Linked DNA regions of Tribolium castaneum. The protein of the gene in region 2 purifies or fractionates together with the protein of the main gene of each other region. This does not show direct contact. Links are inferred from orthologs where the notes say so. Each region holds a gene or a part of one and is shown on either strand. Other genes may lie near its edges.

Region 1 (4,844 bases), on a different chromosome or scaffold from region 2:
ACTTTATTCTAGAGAGATTTTAAATTGACCACAGAAAAATAGTAAATGATTCTCAATTGTTTCAATTTACCAAAAAAGGCATAAAGATCTATTACAATTTAGCAAGAAAGTTGATCCTTTTTTTTTTAATAGTGTTCCGTTTTTAAAAATTCTCCTCAGCTAGGAGGTACCACAAATATTTTAATAATAAAAGTAGCATAACACGCTTGCCATTATTCGCCAGAAATCCTGTATAACAATCAACTCTTGATCAATGATATTAGAGACATAAATCCGTTGCCGTAACTGTGCTATTTTAACGGTCACGGCTTTATAGAATATAATAATTTATTGTCTACAATTTATTACGTCCTAAATTATGCAACAAAATTTTTTGCAGTAGCATAAACCTATTTAAACTGAACGTGGCATTTGCCTTTGGCGAAGCAGACATTGCGTTACTTCTTTCAATGAAAAACCGAGTCAAGGGAAGTCAAGTTCGAGAAATTAAGATGAGTAAAAGTGAAGCTACTTTGTGTCAAATTCCGCGCTAGTAAACCTGCCACAGATGCTGCACAAATAAATCTCCAGTAACTTGCAACAAACATTTGTGTCAACGCGCATTTATAAGGAGCTCGAGAAAACAAACAAAACCTATGTATAAATAAACCAGACCGTTTCCAATATTCCTGAATAAACAAACACGCGTCTTCTGCAAAAATAAATCATTAAGCTCGCACACGTAAAAAATTACGAAAATTGTGTGTCGTGAGCGCTAATTGTTTGAAACAAAAACGTGGATGACGATGCGGGCTTGAGACTCACCCTTGCATCCGGTTTTTTATCAAGCTGATTGAATTTTCAAAACACAAGGGTTTAGTGTTGTGTAACTGGATCGGGTCGCGGAGTTACTTAACTTAATCCGGTTACTTAGGGAAAAACAACCGCATTTAACGTTGGATTACGGTATTATTAATATATAAATTATCATAATTTTTAATAGAGGTCGATATTAACTAAGTTGAAACCATAAAATCCTTACTTTATTACACTGAGCCATGTATGGAATCAAGCTGGGAGAATGCTGGCTTTATTTTATTAGATATTAAAATATCGAACGAGATGACTGTAAAAATGACACGTGGACATTTATGGCACCCGGATTTTATCGATACACTTATTCGACTGACGAACTCGGGAAGAACATCAACGTCCAGCTCCCATTCCAAGGAGTATTAAAATTTTACTGACAAACTAAATGCTGCATAAAACGGAACGTAACGTTTCTTTTAGCGTCAATCAGGAGGACTGATATCGGACGTGATACTAGCTCAGGGTTCACACCTATTCAGCTACTTCCGGCTTACCGTGTATCGAATTGGCAGTGGAATGCTGCAGTGAATAGAGGTACTCCATGTGGGGTGGAAGACGATAAGCGGGATGTAGTTCCCGTCCCAGGAGCTGGAGACCACTTCCAGGACTTCCGCTCACCCTACAACAAAATAAAGAACTTGTCAAACAATCAATTCTAACAAAAATACGAGTTTTACTTATAATGACTGCGTTTTTACTGTGAATTTTGAGCATTTTGAATAATGATTTTTTTGGGGCAAGAGCCCCACGCGCAAAATACACCAATGCCGTTCGCAATTACACAATATTTACGTGCCAAATGTCTTTGTTTTGCACTTTTGAATTAGCCGGAACGGTTTTTCACAGATTTTTCGGCGTTTTTGTTGGATTTTTTAAAGCATTTTCGAAATGTCACTTGTCAAATTTAAGAAGCGCGCGCGCATGCGCAGTGGCAATCATCTAATGGAAATTTCCAGAATTTGCCAATTAATGGATTTTGACTAAAATAAAAGTTTCAATTCTATCTTTCCTATTGATTTCGTCTCAGTGAGACAATTTTGTCGCTTTTCATCTAAAAAAATTTGCGAGCATTTTGATTGGTGGGTTTGAGACCAGCCATTAAAATGACGGAGAAGACCAATCACATTTGAGTTTTTGATTCATTAATGATTATATTTGTGGATTTGATTGGTCCGTTTAAGGTCGGCTATTAAAATTAAGTGAGAAACCAATGGGCTTAAATTTTGAGATTCATTCATAATTTAAGATGAATGGTTAGTTTTTTAATTCAAATGCCAGCTATTAAACCAAATCATTATTATCACAGTTATTAATAAAGAAAAGAAATTAACGAAGTTGATTATTTTAATGTTATAGTCCGTTTTTTAAAGTCAAAATTTTTAACTTCTTTTTTTAATCTCTAACATTTGAACTCGATTTGAACATTTATTGCAGTTATATTTTGATAAAGATTCTTCAATGCAAAATCCTGGATTAAATTTTAATTCCCTTAGAAAAAAAGTTTCGGTAAATTATGCCGTGCGATGTGTTTAGGTAGGTACAGAAAAAATTACCTACTTATGTAAGAAAAAAATCCTCCAATAAACCTTTTACTAAAACAAACGTCAACCAAGTCAAATCTTCACCAAATGCTGTTTTTTACTACCAATATTCATATTTATTCGCCATTACTTTCGACCATCCTTTTCCAACGAGAATATAACAAAAAAATTCCCAGACTATAAAACGCTTCTGGTTTCTGTGTGAATAAAGAGAAAGCAACAATGGTCTGCTGGAGATGGCCCTAATTCTCTGATTGTAAAAATCGCGATTTATTGGATGCACGATTGCATTTTTATCATAATTTCTAAGATTCTTCACAATATTTTTTATATGAAATACTGAAGCCTTTTGGCCCTAATTTTGTTAGTAGGATTCAATTTTAACATCAAAAAGCAGTTACGACGTTTCTAGTAAATATAATTTTATGATAAAATTATTGTTACGACCACGTCACAATATTAAGCTAAACTTTCATGTTTTATCTAAATAATTAGACTAGATATATCATGTGTTGCATAACTTAACTGTTTATGACAAGAGATTGAATATCTGACATATAAAAAAGAAAGTGTTATCGTATAGTACGTGTACAGTACCAAACTTCTAGATTGATTACATTATACAAATTTCATCAAAAGACGAGAAAATTTTTATTTATTTCAAATGATATTCTAAAATGAAGGTAGTAACAAAATGACTAATTCTTTGCTGTGGTACCGGGTGATTCAAAAGTGTGGGATGTGGGACAATCTCTCGTATAGTGATAAAAGACGTTCAGTTAAGCACAAAAATGAAGCCAGATTTTTTAAGCAAGTTTTTATATATTTTTATAGTTATTTATATTTATATTTTATTTATGTTTAATTTATTTATAATTTATTTAATTTATTTTAATGTATTGCACATCATTAGATATTAATTGTTAATTTTTTTCAACAGTTATTTGTTTAATGTTGCAAGAGCTAACTTAAGTCAAAAAAATATGATCTAAAATATCAAAAAATTAATTTAAAAATTTGACTTTGAAGGCCTACATCTCGTGAAACAATTTTTTGTCACAGGAACTTTTTATTCAGTTAGTTTGATGTCTTTTATCAGCACCCGAGAGATTGTACGGTACTTGTGAGTCACCTGTATACCAGCTTAACTTCAAATCGTATCCAAAATTTAATTGAAAGCATATTTTTAACAAATATATCTTGACTGCTGTGGCTTTGCTATTTTCCGGACGGAAATGATATATTAATAGTCCCAGGATGTTGATAAGAAATTTGTTCCAAGTCATTGCCATTATCAGCGCATTGAGCATCAGTGATGTCATCTTGGTCCCCGCTCATTGAATAAATCTATTTAATCTTCTTGACGGATGCACAAACCGAGAGGAAGCTATTTATATAAGTAATAAAACCGTATTTTTCGTTACGTAAACATTTATTCAGAAAGCCTCGATCTTCGACCAAGGTGAGTCGATGGAGGATTTCAAAAATATACGGCCAATATAAACGCCAACAAGTTTTTACGGCCGAATAAAAGTTTAATCCAGACTGCATTATCAGGTGTGTCGTTCTACATCCAACCAAATAAACACAAGTGGACGCAACCACAGAGACAACCTATGCCAGGACGACGCTCTTTCACAGGACGAATGTAATCCGGCTTGCATAAAACACGCACACCACACCGAACGCGTTCGAATCACCTATGTTTTGTTCGCACCTTAGATGTGGGTGTTTTATACAGTTGTACCAAACAAAGAAGGCACACCGTTGCCAACTGAATAATTTGACAATTTGTATACAGGCGCTTCATACATTTACATAAATTCGACGACGGACTAACTTCGTCCGCTTGACCGCTCTATCACCAAATAATTCAGATGAGTCAACAACACACATCAACTACAAATTAAGACAGGCATTCCTTTTTTTTCCTTTCTCTACGTGAAAAAACGGCACTTTCCGCCCTATTGAGTGAAATATATGGAGATATAGTATTACAGGCTATGAAACCGTGATAGAAAGAAATTAAGTGTGCAATTGTCAATAACAAGGCTTATTTATTTATTTCACGAGTGAGTGGAGGTTTCGCATGAGAACAGCAATTATAATAAATCCCGGAATGCGTTTGACGAGGTGGATGCTGGAGTCCACCCGCCGATAATTGGAGTCTGGTTCGTCTCTAAAAGGCGTTGATGCTTCAAATCAGCATTAATTAAAAAGCGGGTTGTAGATTCATTCTGGCGCAAGTAATTTGAATTAATTATTATCGGATCGTGCACGTCCGTGTGCACCGTATACATATTCAAACTCACGCTAGAACCGCATTTGCATAGAACACGTTCTTGGTTGCTCTATTAAGGTGTGGGACTGACTGAAAACCGTATCTGGAGCTTTCGTTGCTACTGCAGTCCCGCCTTCTAAATTAGAATCATATAACTTGTCATAAATAAT
Region 2 (5,644 bases):
TATACAATTTTTGCCGACTAAACTCACTTTCTAAGTTTGCAAAGAATGATTACAGACTAGAAAGCCCAACAAACTGTAGAAACCGCACTATAGTGTGAGAATTTTAAAACAACTTGATTCCTAAAATAACGTGTGTAGCCTATCATTGAAATTTCATAGACTAGAGAGCTAAAATTAGTTGTTCATTTTTGCAAATTCAACGATAACGAAATAAAACAAATGTAAAACGTCAACAAGATTAATGGCGCACACGATGAAAACCGCACTTTAGATGTTTTAAACGTACTATCACATAATTCGTAGTTAAACTCATTTAGGTTACAACAGATCAACAGAGGTTTTGTGTCGACATCTTAATTCGGTCTAGGAAACACAACAGCAAAAATTTTTCATAAAGACGAAACACGTAAAAAACGAACTCCAATTATGTCAAATACGCTTCATATTATAAATTAAGACATAAATATATCCAATTTAAATATAACATTATACACAATTATTACAAATAATTTTCTAAATTTTATATTCCTAGTCAGTTTATGCGAGCACTTGCTCCAAAATTGTCTCTTCCACACTCACACACACATGATGACAAATTGGCTTCTGGACAATTTACTCAAACGCTGAAATTGGAAACGTTAAAAAATCAACAATAACACACAACCAACGTACGAGAGGGCGAAGGCGATTTCGTGTTTCTCTCTCCAATTGAGTTGAGGAAATTCCAAATAAGAATTGTATCATCGTGCGAACTGCTCACTATTTGAAACTCGTCAAACTGCAACCTGAATACTCTACCTGTGTGTTCCTGAAAACAAGAAACACCAACGTTTAGACACCCGGGAATGGGTCTCACACCCACCGAAACTTTATGAATGCAATCAGTCAAAAAATCATTTAAGACATCAATGGTATGAACACCTAATAGGCTCATTTAGCACGGTTCCTTAAACTAACGCAACAAGCATTTAACTTCAAGTGCAAAATACCTGCCAAATCGCGACTATTATGGAAAAAGAAAGATTTCGTGTACAAATGGCCAAAACAAAAAATTGTTCTTTCGATTCTATCTCTAATTATAATTAAAGTGCCATCCATTTTCTGCTCATGTTACAAAATATTTATGATACTGATGCGTTTTTCATCGAGAAAATGGTCACTTATCCCAGCAATGATACTATTTCTCAACAATTATCACTTATCAGCGAACAGTGAAGTGAAGTACATATTAACCCGTAACATTATTTCGTAACTTGAAATAAAAAACACTAAGTGGGCCCATTAAAGGACAAGCAAGCATAACAACTTTACCTGCAATCGCTCAGTTAAAAATTAGCCCTTTATTAACTCTATTAAATGAAATGTCAAGCGCTGCGTTATGATATTAGATGAATTTAATGACTGTACTATTAACTTACTACCAATGTTCGAAGACATAAAGCACTGGCCGGCGTTCTGGGATCAAGCGCGGCAACGAGATCCCAAACTTTAATTTTCCCATCATAAGCCCCGCTGACAATCCGTTTCGAATCGAAACGGATACAACGCACTAACTCTTCGTGCCCTTCAAGCACCCGCAGACAAGCGCCACCTTCGATATCCCACAACCTGGAAATCGATCGTGTTCTGTGGTTTCTTTATCGCGCATTTAACCGCAATGTTTACCTTATGGTATTGTCCGAACTTCCGCTTACGACCAACCTATCTCGGTATTGCAAACAGGCGATCCCCCGTTTATGTCCGTTTAACGTTCGCATAAACTCACAAGTTGAGGTGTTCCACACTTTTATCGTTCGGTCACCCGACGCCGAAACTATGTATTTCTCGTCGAAATCGACCACGTTCACGGCGGCCCTGTGCCCCACCAGCACCCGCCGCAGGGTGATCTCGTTCGGCGATGTCATGTCCCACACAGCTATCGAGCGATCCTGAAAAAAACAAACATTAATTCGCAAAACGGCGTTAAAAACCCATTCTCACACGTTACCTTTTCAAAAATAATTAGGTTAAACCAAATTTACATTTTATAGCTCATTTTTTTGTAAGAATCATTTGTGCAATGCCTTTTTTTTAATTAAACGCCAATACGAGCGCTACTTTAATGAATAACTTTGACCTTTTAAAGCGCGCCCCTTTTTTAGGATCGGATTTGTTCCACCCACAAGCTTTGTCCGTTTTCAGTACAATTGGCCAAGCTTTAGCTTATGCCAATAATAAATCCATTGCTATTATTAGTAAAAAGTAACTAATAATAGCCCAAGGTTTTATTGGGGAAGGAACTTGAATTAATTTTCGAACGAAAATTAATTGGCAATCACGTACCGTTTCGTAATTTATAAAAACGAATTTCATGCGATGCATTTACTTTCGTTTTTGTTAAAAATAAAACCCAAACAGGAAGTGTGAAATTTGTAATTAAGTGTCCAATTAGAGCTAGTGCACCATAAAATAAATTCTTGGACAAAATTAGAGTGCTTTCTTTTTTCAATTGTGGAGTTTTTATGTTAATGTCTCATTCTCGGATGTGACCCCGAAATAACTTTGCGTTTCATTATCATATAAATATTCCTTTGTAGTTGCAATATCCAGATATAATCCATGATTTATTGTTTTAATGGTGGAAGTAACGATAACGGGGAATATTTGTCCGTTTTTAATCCGAATTGTATTCGAGTTCAAACAGTGGGAATTTACGATCGCGATCTGCTGACGAGTCTGACACATATTTCAAGAAAAAATCCAAGACCGAGTTTCTAACGGTGGTTTAATTGCGGGCGGTTTTCACTTGGTTCGCTAATGAAGTTCCAATACGGTTTTCGACTTACTTTTGAACAGGTGACCATCATTCCGTTATTGAATCTAAGATGAAGGACGGCTTCGCAATGATGTATGAGCGTATTGACCATTTCTCCCGTGTTAACGTTCCAGACGCGCACAGTTGAATCACTAGAACCACTAATAATAACTTTATCGTCGTATTGTAAACACAAAACCGATCCCGTATGTCCTATAAGAACTTTAGTGCACTGCAATGTACTTCTGTCCCATATTTTAATAGTATTGTCCCTGAGACCCGACACGATTTTCTGATCGTCGTACTGCAAACAGTAAACCCCTTTGCTATTTTCGGACCGGCAGTTGATTCGCTGCAAGATGTGCCGACCGTTCCGCCAATTACTTTCTATGCTTTCGATATCGCGGATGATTTTCGGGAAAAGGGCTCGATAGAACGAATGGGGACGATGGTTCTCGCCAGGTCGTGGTTTGAATAAATATTGTATCCTGAAATTTGCCAAGTTAAACACCCACTAACTCGGGTTTAATTCAGTACCATTGTCTGCGTTCGGCTAAACCTCTCCACAGTGAATCCGTCCGAACTTTCCGCTCGATTAGCTTCTTCCAAAGCATACCCTCTGAGATTACCCTAAACCATTCTTTGCAGACCAACTCGGCGTTCCGTAAACTGTCCGCCTCCAAATATGACAATATATTCTCAGCGACGTGGTCCAATCCTTGCTCTGAAAGACAACTCAAAAAATCCGCTGGGACTAACGTTTCGGGACTTACTTGGTAAAAGAGATATGAAATCTCGCTGCAGCATGGGTTTCAAATAGGAATTGATGTGCCCGTGTTGGTAGTGACACATCCTAGCTAGTAAATTTTCTACGAATTCGACTTGGTCGGTTTCGCTCCATTTTTCGAAGCATTTCAGACATGTTTCTCTCTCCGCGTTAAAAGTAGCCGAAGGCTCTTTCTTCCTGGCCGTATCGTACGGTGATAATATTGTCATTGGATACTGCTGTAAAGGAAACACAAACGATTACGATGGAACAGACATCTGCAAACAAAATTACCGTTATGTTCCGAAATAAGCGAGATACGAGCTAAATTTAGCTAAACCTCAGTAATCAACATATTAGATAAAGGAAATTACAAATACCGTTTGTCGCTATTTTTATGCACCTAATGAACCCGTCTGAGAACAAATAAAACTGAACATAAACATAAAAGATAACTGTCGACGAAAAAATGATAAGACAATAATTAAATGTAAATTGTAGAAAGTTGAACGCCTTGTGCACGCACAAATCGCTGATTTACTTCTGATATCCGAGGCGAGCTTAGATGTACTAAAGGCGGGAAAAATGTTCATCTGGTGACTCTCTTTTTCCTCAACATAAGAATAATCTCATAAATAAAGCACGCTCGACATTCAGGACAAAATTAACATACACGGTACACTTGAACTAGAATGACTGCTAGGAGACAAGACGAGTTTCCGAGGACGGTTCCATGAAATTGTTTTTTCTGTTGTCTAATCGCGATCTAATATCGACACAAAACCTCTAATTAATCGAGCGTAAAAGCCGAATTTTATGAAATGGAGAAACCGCAACGTTTTCCCTCTTTAATTGCGGCGCCTAATGACGTCAATTAATTAAACGAGCTGTCTAGAAAACGTGATTTTGAAAAATTTTGCTTGTGACAACAATAATTAATTTACATTTAATTTACCATCACCGGAATAGATTGCGTTGTCATGAACCGCGTATTTTCTTACATCTTGTTCAAGGATTATTTATGGCAAAATCGATTAGTTACGATTCAATTCACTGGACGGTTTGAAATGAATTTTTTACGAGCTGCACTCAAAGACAGAGTGCAAGAAATTTCAATTTTTCGCTTTACCAACCAAATTCCATAGTTCAAAATTGTTTCGTTGTAAAGTGAACTTACTTTTTCGCTCTTTCACGAGATAAATTCGATGATTTCCTGGTACAAAAATTCTTCCAAAAAATTGCAGTAAAATAACCTTCGCTTAAAATGTATTCAAAATATTTGTTTAGAAAAAATCGCAGTCTTCACGGCCAAACCTTTGTTACAATCCTTTCAAAGACTGTCTGGAGTTGAGCAACACTACGATTTTACTATGTATTTGTCAATGACAAAGTTATGCACTCAGCACTAATACAAAGTTATTACTCCATCCCAATTAACAAACAATGTGTAATCCTTCAACCAAATTACTACAAATATTAACATTCGAGCAGGTAGTTTGAAACTAGTTATTAGCTAATTAAACATATACGTGCGCCATTATAAATTTCTAATCCAATTATTCATTTCAGTGAATTATGACATTAACAATCGGACGGCTTCGTCTTTACAACGTCCAATTTATTCGTTTAATACAGGATAAAATGAAACAACAACTACGTAAATAGCATTTCCACCTACACATGCCTCATCAACTTTGCATGCACTAAGCCTGATCCAAAAACAATTTATTTTCAATTATATCGCAAGCATATTCTCATTTAATTAAGTCCTGGGCAAATAACGCCAACAAGGTAAATTGCTTGTTGCGAATTGGGGAGCACATATTACATTATGCATCTATAATTTTTAGTAGTGTGTTGTAAGTGTCTTTAATATTGTGAGAACCATAATCTGAGAAAATCAGCTTATCGTTCAGCGTTCGCCAATTATAATAAGTTGCTTTGGGTGAGTCAAACGAAACATGTCCGCATTCTACAACGAGAGAAACAAATCAAGGACCGATCCGCTAGCCAAGAAGGTCCTAAACGTTGCACGTTGTTTCGCACCTTATTTGTTATTACCACCAATTGGCAATGTCTGAGCA
Region 3 (4,315 bases), on a different chromosome or scaffold from region 2:
ATAGTTTGAAGTTCGAGAGTAGGAAGAGGGCGAGGTGTGGTGAGCGGCAACCAATCACCATCACTTTGCCGTCCCTTGAAAAAAACATAAAAAAACAATTGACAAAAACCATCGTCATACTGTGTGAACGTGATGTTTTTCACTTCGTGGTTGAACCACACCAGAGGTGGTATTTCAGTCTTCATCTCAAACGTGCCAAACTGCCAGATCTGGATCACGTCGTCGTTGAAACATGTCAAAATATAGGAGGAAACGGGAATGAAGCACACCTGGAATTTTCGAAATCAAATTAATTCTAACGATCGCAAAGACGTACATATTTCAGGGCGCAACTGTGCTGCAAACTGAGCACCTGCAGCTTGCTGTTGGTGTTCAAGTCCCACAAAATCGCCTCACTTGTGGACCCCGTGAGGCACAAAAAGTTACTACCAAACGTCATGCAATTAACAGGGCTCTGGTGGCCCCTCAACTGGCCGCAGACGAAGCCAGTTTGGGCCTCAACCACGTACACAGCGCCACAATGTGCCCCCACTAAAATTTCGCCCTCTTTGAAGTGCGAAAACTTGACCATAACGCAAGTGTTTGTGAATTTTGGGATGTTCCAGAATTTGGTGCTCGTGAAGTCGATCACAAAGATGTTGCCCTCGTAGTCGGCCAAGGCCAGTGTTTGACCATTTTTGCTGAAACAGCAACTGAGAAAGCGGATCTTCTGCGCGTTTCTGTCGGTGTGGTGGATGTTTAGCACTAAGCTGAAAACAGGGCAATTAATTGGTCCAAGGGGCAAGGGCCCAATACCCGTCTCTTTGGGAGGGTTTCAAAGTGAAAAGTTTCTTGTAAATGCGGTTTTCCTTGGTTAGGTTTAGAGTCATGGTGGTTGTGGTTGTTTCAAGGGTTGGTTTGTCTTTATCGATGGTCACAGATTAAAGCAAGATAACCTCTAATCTGTGTCAATATTTTGTAAAATCGAGTTCAAGAAACCTTTGTGAACTTGTCATTGCATGTTGCACTAGCACACCGAAAGGTGGCGCGAAGTCAAATTATTCAGCCAACTGTGATATTTTTCTCATTTTTTCATTTTCCTATTAACAAAGGTGTATCATCAATTTAATATAGAATAAAATAATAAATAAATTATTCATAGTTTTATTTATGTTTTTTTGATAATCGTATTCCAATGTGTGTTAAAGTGGCGTTAACTCAAACAGCAATTTGTCAAAACAATTTATTTAAAATCGGTGAATTAAATTACATTCGTATTCTTTTCACATAGTAATACAAATAAACAGATTCTATACAATTAATAAAGTAAAAGCAGAATTAAAACAAAAATTCAAAGGAATATCAAGAGAGCGCCAGAACTCAGATTGACAGTTCTAGGACAATTCAATCAAAACATAAATACAGTTGTGTATTTTTTAGTATAGCATATCACTTAAAGTACAATTTATTTTTCGAATATTTACAATATACAAGCCACTCGTTGACTCCGCCGGTTGTTAATCAAAGACAGTTGGGTGACAGTTGCGTTTGCTGAATCATGCCAAGTAGCTGTAGGTGTCCTTCTGACCCTCAGTCCTCTCCAGATACTCCTTCTCGATCAGAATATCTATGCATTTCTGCAACAAAACACAAATCAAACACACAACTAATACGAGAAATATCATCACCTTGATGATGTGAACCCTCGGCTTGAACCTTGACGACAACTGGTTCAAAACTTCAGCCACCAACTGTTGATGTTTCAGTATTTTCCTCATTTTCATGATTCGTACAATCGCGGCTTGAATCAGCAACTTCCTGTCCTCTTCAATATGCTTGTGAGTTGTTTCTTGCTCCATCTTTAGCTCGGTCTTCATCGGAATATTGATATTGACCCGAAGTTTTTTACTGGAAGAAAAACTCAAATCGGGGGACACCCCTGGCGCGTAAACTCACTTTTTATATCCTAGGAAAAGGTTCACAACCGAGTGTGGCGCGAGCTCGTTCTCGTCATCATCGCAAGTGATCAGCTTCGCTTTAAGTAATATCTGTATGACCTGTATTAGGAAATCTGTTTTGATTTGTGTATTCTCCTCGAGTTGAGCTATTGTCCAACTTTCAGACACGTTGAACTGGAGCAGCACAGCCATTTGAAACGTACTAGCTTGGAGTGTGTATCTATTTTTAAAACAGTTCGTGTGTAACTCTCCTTTCGACATGTTATACAGCCAATTTAATTTCCGGCCCGAATGCTGACCGGAATAGAAATTTGTAAATCTATGAACACTTCTTTCAAGCTGCAAACGTACAATTTATCTCCCAACCCTACAACAAGCAAAAAACGCACCTCGGTCGGCAATCCGAAGGTGAAAGATTGCTGGAAAGGCCATGATCCGGAAGATAACACTTGAATACTAAAATCTATGTCTAGGGTTTCGTTTGATTTTAATAGATGACTTTTGAATTGCTCGTTCAGATCTTTAGACACGCCAATGTCCTAAAAAAATACAGATTACGCCAAAATCAACGCTTTCAAGGCTGTTTTTCGAAAGAATTAACGATAAAATGGCCCAAAAATGGCAACATAAACCGTCATTAAAGTAGTGACTTTTAATATTTTTTAGCATTTGAAATTTCAAAATTATTTCATAATAATCATTTGAGATCTCCCGACTTATTTTAATGAATTTTCGGCTTATTCCGGAGGACTTTCGCAAAAAGAAGCATTTCTGAGTGAAAAACGTACAAAAAACAAGAAAAAAATTTAAAGTTCAATTTGTATTTTTTGGAAATTGTCAAATAAAAAGTTGAAAAAATTAAATTTTTAGCCAAAAACTTGGAAATTTAGCAAGACAAAAAGAAAGTCGCCTTCAGTTCAAAGTTACCACTGAAATCTCCAAAAGGAGAGCAGGCCTTGAAGTCAGTCATGAAAAACGGAAGAAATGCGTATAACCAAAGTCACTTTGCAAAAAATTATGTTTAAATTCGCATTTCCGTTGATTGTTTGTTTATCGATATGATAAATGTGCAGAAAATCGTTTATAAATGTCTCGTATTAACGCAAATTGTTTATTAATAGAAAATCATTCATTCTCGGGGTCATCAATGACCAATTAAAAACCAATTGTACCAACTTGCCTGGAACATCCTTTGCAACTTGGAGGTGTACTCAAACCCGCATGCCTGTTTCAGTTTTGAGATCATTGAAGCTTCAGCATCGTCACTCGCCGACATGTGCTGGACCAATCGCTTGGCCAGCATTTTACTGTAGAACTTTTGAAAAACGTCCTTATCTTCGATATATTTGAACACAACCATCTGAAAACACAATCAAAACCCCACCCAAAACAAAACCTCGTTACATACGACTTGGTTTAACGTATCTTCGAGCTCCGCCTCCTCCGGATTCTTGCTCGACTTCTTCAGCAGCAAATCACAGTATTTCGCGAGCAATTCCGGCGATTTGCTGCTCGAATTGGCTTTTTTGGTAACGGCATTGGCGTTGATGAAACGACCACATGCCTTGTCCAAAGCCGCCACAAAACCGCTATCGTTGTTGAACGCCACCAAAACAAGAGCGTTGTACTTCTTGTGCACCTCCAGAATCGTGTTGACGTAAATTTTCGGGTCCTAAATACAGGTTATTAAAAACTGGGAGTTGTAGTAACAGTTAGTTACATTATGGGCGCTTTCTCCGCATTTTTCAATCGCTGAGAGCCCCTGAGCTGCGATATGTTGCTCGAGAAGCGTCCGTAATTCCCCTAAACCGTCCGGAATCCGCGCTACCAACGAGTACATCCGACCCAAATCCTCGTCTTTGTCGGCGTCCAACAACTGCTGGAACTCCGAATGGAACATGTCGAGGTGCTTTTTAATGAGGACTCTTTCGCAGGTTTTGGCTAAACGGCCGCTTGTTGTTTCGTGTAGATAGACTTGGACGCGTTTCTGTTCTTCGAGGAGACGTTGTTCGGCCTTTTTCATGTATTCAGTGACCGGATTTTGTGCTAGGAAGTTGTTACTCTCTTTTAGGTAGAAGCGTTCAGTGTCTTCCAGAAACATGTTTTCGAAACTCTCTTTGTACACCGATAGGTTCGGTCCTTTGGCCCCTGGTTCCTCCTCGTTTAGGCCCAATTCCACGTAACAGTTTATCACGCCAGAGACTAAACGAGTGTTGATTGTTTCGCCGTTGCGCTCGCGTTCGATCAGTTTCAGAACGGCAGTTGTTACCTGGTTTGAACGGGGGAGAAAAATAAAAACGACAGCCCCGGATAGGGGCTTGCAAACTCTCAATATTTACTAATTTAAAACGAAAGCAAAAACAAAACTTTTAAAATTA
Region 4 (4,844 bases), on a different chromosome or scaffold from region 2:
AATCGCCAACATAAAGACGGACCAAAAGTTCGAATCATTCGCATTCCGATACTATTATTAAGTGTTTACTGTGCGGACGTAATCGATGAATTTCTTATAATACCAACGCCCGGTCACGAGAAGATGAATCCCAAACGATAAAATTAATACGAACAACGGGCCCAAACTTCCGTAAGTGGGCTGAGAGATTTCCAAAAATGCAACGAAAATTTTGCGCTAATTTTAGGCTTCGTATTAGAATTAACTAAATTCGCCTTATTATCACCTTATACTCGTCTAATTAAAGATGTCAGCAACTTAAAAACAACTATGTATTAATGATAAGGCTAAAAACACTTAAAAAAATAATAAAATAAATAAAAAAAGTAAATAATAAACCCTTTCTTTATACCTTTATACTTGGAATTATGACGCGAGCATTTGGTCCAGTTTTAAGACCAAATGGTTTAGAACTTAGTTCCTTTAAGTTCAAGACAAAATTTTGAACATAAAGTGGTCGATTTTTTATTTTGCGGAGGGTGTGTAAGAAATGTCTGTCAAGTTTTTGGTGATTTTAGGTTCTGTGATGAAAGGCGGTTGTGATGTCACGATATCCTATTTTGAACCATATTTTTAGTTTCCAGTAACACAAAAATGAGTGAAATAAGTTGCCAATGCACTTGATTTTACTCGGATCTTCACTTAAAAACTTTAATCCGCCTAATTTTGGCATTTGTTTTCTTTAAAAAAGTTTATTTTCAACGATCTCTCGCACTTAAAAACGTACTAAGCTCTCTGGGAATACCTACGTTCGCCTTATTTTGCATTTGAGTCATCTCATTAATTGATTTTCAACAATTTTTCCTTCAAATCGTACTGAAATACCATTTACTTTGTATGGTATTCCACCAGTTTAAATAAGTTTTTTTCAACGATTCTTTGCTAGAAGACGTGCCAAATGGTCTTGGAATACCTCTAAACAAGTTAATTTGGCATTTACTGTATTAAATTAGATTCGATTTTTCTCTTAAAATAAAAACTTTAAATTGCGTAATTTTGGCATTTTTACAATGCTCGAAAAGTCAAAAATAAGTTAATTTTTGGGTTATTTAAGCGAAATTTCGCGAGAAAATGAGGTTTGCATAACATTTCAAAAAGGCAAGAGTAATATTGGAGGAAAAATTACAAAAGACATTGTATCTCACTTATCAAACGTGCTAAACACTAGAGAGAAACAGCTCACAGTAATATTATTTTCGACATTTATTGCAAACTTTTTGCCCTATTAAGGATATTTAAGAGTAATTTACTCATCTAGCAACAAAAAATTCAATAGAATCCTAATAAGCAATAAACGAAAATTTATGTCAAAAGTCTGCCAATTTGACGTAAAATTGTCTGGGGATTTGCTATTATTTTCGTTCTACAATTCGTAGTTTTGAAGATATTGATTGAAAAACAGTCGACTTTTCGTCAATTTTTACATTCTACCAAAAATTAACAAAAAATAAAAATAATTTGAATAACACAATTTGGTAAAAAAATTATTCACTTATCTACCAACAAAAAATTCATCAAGAGCAAAATAAAATTGATGTCAAAAGTACGCCAATTTGACGTAAAATTGTCCAGGGGTTCAAAAATCTGCCTTTATTTTGTTCTAGAATTCGTAGTTTTGGAAATATTTGTAGTAATACGGTCGATTTATTTTTTCCCTTCTACCAAAAATTTAATGAAAATAATAATAAAAATTGACCTAAAACGACTTGTAGCACTTTTAATTAAAAAAAAATTGTGGCCATCGAGGCAAAAATTGTGCAAATAAACTGAATAAAACAAATTTGTCAAAATTTTTATTTACTTATCTGCCAATAAAAAATTACCAAGATTACAATAACCAAAAATTTAATACACATTTATGCCCAACTGACGTAAAATTGTCTGAGGATTCCAAATCTGTTCTCATTTTTGTTATAAAATTCGAAGTTTTGGAAATATTAGACGAAATACGATCGATTTCAATTTTTTCATTTTATCAAAAATTAAAAGAATAAAAAAATAAAAATTGATCCAAAACGACTTGTAACACTTTCAGCTAGTTCGTTATCAAAAATCTGAGCACAATTTTGTGGTAATCTAGTCAAAACTGTGCAAATAAGCCGAATAAAACAAGAAGTCAAAATTTTTATTTACTTATCTGCTAATGAAAAAACATCAAATAACCAAAAATTTAGGTCAAAAGTATGCCTATTCGACGTAAACATCTGAGGATTCCAAATATATCCTCATTTCCCTTACACGATTTTAGAGATATTAGACGAAATACGATCGAGGAAAATTTTTCCATTCTACCAAAAATTAAATTAAATTAAAAATTTAAATTGACCTGTCTAAAACGACTTGTAGCACTTTTTTTACTAGTTGATTATCTATTTCTGAGCAAAATTTTGTAGAAATCGAGTCAAAATTGTGTAACGAATAAATAAAACAACCTGTTCAAAATTTTTATTTACTTTCTACTAACAAAAAATTCAGTAAGGTCAAAATAACCGAAAATTGATGTCAAAAGTATCACCATTTGACACAGAATTGTCTGAGGATTCCAAATCTGTTCTCATTTTTGTTATAAAATTCAAAGTTTTGGAAATATTAGACGAAATACGATCGATTTCAATTTTTTCATTTTATCAAAAATTAAAAGAAGAAAAAAATAAAAATTAATCCAGAACGACTTGTAACACTTTCAGCTACTTCGTTATCAAAAATCTGAGCACAATTTTGTGGTAATCTAGTCAAAACTGTGCAAATAATCCGAATAAAACAAGAAGTCAAAATTTTTATTTACTTATCTGCTAATGAAAAATCATCAAATAACCAAAAATTTTGGTCAAAAGTATGCTTTTTCGACGTAAACTTATCTGAGAATTCCAAATATATCCTCATTTCCCTTACACGATTTTAGAGATATTAGACGAAATACGATCGAGGAAAATTTTTCCATTCTGCCAAAAATTAAATTAAATTAAAAATTTAAATTGATCTGTCTAAAACGACTTGTAGCACTTTTTTTACTAGTTGATTATCTATTTCTGAGCAAAATTTTGTAGAAATCGAGTCAAAACTGTGTAACGAATAAATAAAACAACCTGTTCAAAATTTTTATTTACTTTCTACTAACAAAAAATTCAGTAAGGTCAAAATAACCGAAAATTGATGTCAAAAGTACCACCATTTGACACAGAATCGTCTGAGGATTCCAAATCTGTCTCCCTTTTTGATCTGTGAATGGTAGTTTTGAAGATATTGGACGAGATAAACGCCCCTATTTAGATAAAAAAGTTTGCTTACCGCAGATGAGGGCCAGCCCGAACAAGTCGGTGTCGAGCATCCCCTGTTGGGCGAAGTGTAGGCATGTCTGCTGGTACAGTTCCCTGACCCTGGATTTGGCCTGTACGATGAAGTAGAGGGTTTGTTGGTGCAGCAAATGCAGGGCCAAGAAGCGAGCCGACGGGGGTAGCGCTGCTGCCGGGCTGCACGCGGCCAGAGGGGCGCTTACCGTGCACAGGCCGGCGCGCATGACCCGCTCATCTCTTCAAGGGGGTTGCCCGCTCACCTGCACACACGACCCTATCATTAGCCTGCGATCGGACATCTCGCGCCAACAATTAACACACGTTCCAGGAACAAATTCCAGACAGATACAGAGGTCATTGCCAAATTTTCATATTAATCGGCCATTGTCTCGCGTTTTGCGTTCGCTTTTAGACGATGATTAGGTGGGTTTCATTGGATGCCGATTCTAGGTAACACTTCTTATCTGATTTACTGCGTACACAGGAAATATCTTGCATGTTTCTTGAGAAATGGCGAAAAAAACACATGTACGTCATGTATGAGAGTTGTGATTTGTGATTAGACACCAGAAAGAATTGAGTTTTTTACATATTTGTGACAGACAAGACGAAAATTGACGCTTTACAAGTTGGACAAAGGCCCGATTTTGAAGCCTTTTAGACAGCTTTACGAAAGATTGAAGGTCAAGACTGGCATGGAAATGAGTTAAAAGTCACGCCAATAACAGGAATCGATTTATTATTTAATCCTGTAATCGCATCTATTTGAAATTTTTAAAACTTAAAAAAATAAATGAACGGCAAAATCAATTCCGACTCGTCTACAGCGAAATTCTAGCCCAAATTTTCATTTTTTAATTAAATTTCGGGAAAAATATAAACGTAAATCGTTGAGAATAGCATTTTTGTTTTAGTGCCATTTATTGGCATTATTATACGTGTAGTGAAATAACATCAAATATATATTAGATAATTTTGTCACTCCTAATTATTATTAATAGATAGGAACATGTTTTTCTAAAAAAAGACCAAACTGTGCAAAAATATCTGTGGTTAGTAAGAAATTTTCTACAATGTCAAAAAAACCAAAATAACTTGAAAATGATCATAGATAGGTATAGGGAATGCTAATACAGATCGATGCAGAAAAAAATTCTCCACCATCTAGTAAAATAAAAATTGGGACGTCCCATTTAAAAAAATAAATTTTGGGTACTTGAAGTTGCCCAAACTTAACCCTAAAATTTTTGGGTTTATTAACTTCTTTTCTAATTTTGAACACACTGGAGAACAGATATAGGCTTTCTCTTTTAATTCTCCAAAAATGATTTCGAAACCTCTAAAACTAAAAGAGTTACCGATTTTTTAGGTGACAGGTGCAAATCCAAAAATTTTCAAAAAATCTTACATATTCCGAAAACGGTTAAACTTATGTATAGGACAAGCTGATAAAAACTGTCTTAAAATAACTCAACTAATCCAAAAACGGATTGAAAAACATAGATTTCCATT

Evidence for each region. Proteins that work in one complex are often made in the same cells at the same time.
Region 1: the proteins of slmb (region 2) and ci purify together in Drosophila melanogaster (affinity purification with western blotting; 4 studies listed by BioGRID, with this or other methods). This does not show direct contact. The link is inferred for Tribolium castaneum from reciprocal best matches to the Drosophila melanogaster genes slmb and ci.
Region 3: the proteins of slmb (region 2) and Cul1 purify together in Drosophila melanogaster (affinity purification with western blotting; 4 studies listed by BioGRID, with this or other methods). This does not show direct contact. The link is inferred for Tribolium castaneum from reciprocal best matches to the Drosophila melanogaster genes slmb and Cul1.
Region 4: the proteins of slmb (region 2) and ex purify together in Drosophila melanogaster (affinity purification with western blotting; 4 studies listed by BioGRID, with this or other methods). This does not show direct contact. The link is inferred for Tribolium castaneum from reciprocal best matches to the Drosophila melanogaster genes slmb and ex.

Annotation. Positions count from the first base shown.
Region 1 is NC_087394.1:31,471,378-31,476,221, reverse strand, and holds part of ci (transcriptional activator cubitus interruptus), read right to left. Parts: intron 1,472-4,844; coding exon 1,347-1,471; intron 1-1,346. UniProt on the Drosophila melanogaster protein: Has a dual function as a transcriptional activator and a repressor of the hedgehog (Hh) pathway. The full-length ci form (ciFL), acts as an activator (ciA) while ciR, its C-terminally truncated form, acts as a repressor. Involved in segment polarity.
Region 2 is NC_087397.1:4,519,829-4,525,472, forward strand, and holds the end of slmb (supernumerary limbs), read right to left. Parts: intron 4,102-5,644; exon of another isoform or gene 3,855-4,101; intron 3,800-3,854; coding exon 3,568-3,799; intron 3,519-3,567; coding exon 3,332-3,518; intron 3,283-3,331; coding exon 2,826-3,282; intron 1,929-2,825; coding exon 1,666-1,928; intron 1,609-1,665; coding exon 1,419-1,608; intron 809-1,418; coding exon 673-808; intron 624-672; coding exon 613-623; 3' UTR 234-612; downstream 1-233.
Region 3 is NC_087396.1:22,569,060-22,573,374, forward strand, and holds the end of Cul1 (cullin-1), read right to left. Parts: intron 4,207-4,315; coding exon 3,658-4,206; intron 3,610-3,657; coding exon 3,346-3,609; intron 3,298-3,345; coding exon 3,118-3,297; intron 2,477-3,117; coding exon 2,327-2,476; intron 2,277-2,326; coding exon 1,936-2,276; intron 1,888-1,935; coding exon 1,668-1,887; intron 1,617-1,667; coding exon 1,536-1,616; 3' UTR 1,209-1,535; downstream 1-1,208. Other genes in the region: TBC1 domain family member 31, read right to left, coding at 1-74, 121-269, 317-749, 796-869. UniProt on the Drosophila melanogaster protein: Core component of multiple SCF (SKP1-CUL1-F-box protein) E3 ubiquitin-protein ligase complexes which mediate the ubiquitination of proteins involved in cell cycle progression, signal transduction and transcription.
Region 4 is NC_087395.1:21,737,824-21,742,667, reverse strand, and holds part of ex (protein expanded), read right to left. Parts: intron 3,593-4,844; 5' UTR 3,557-3,592; coding exon 3,328-3,556; intron 1-3,327. UniProt on the Drosophila melanogaster protein: Activates the Hippo/SWH (Sav/Wts/Hpo) signaling pathway, a signaling pathway that plays a pivotal role in organ size control and tumor suppression by restricting proliferation and promoting apoptosis.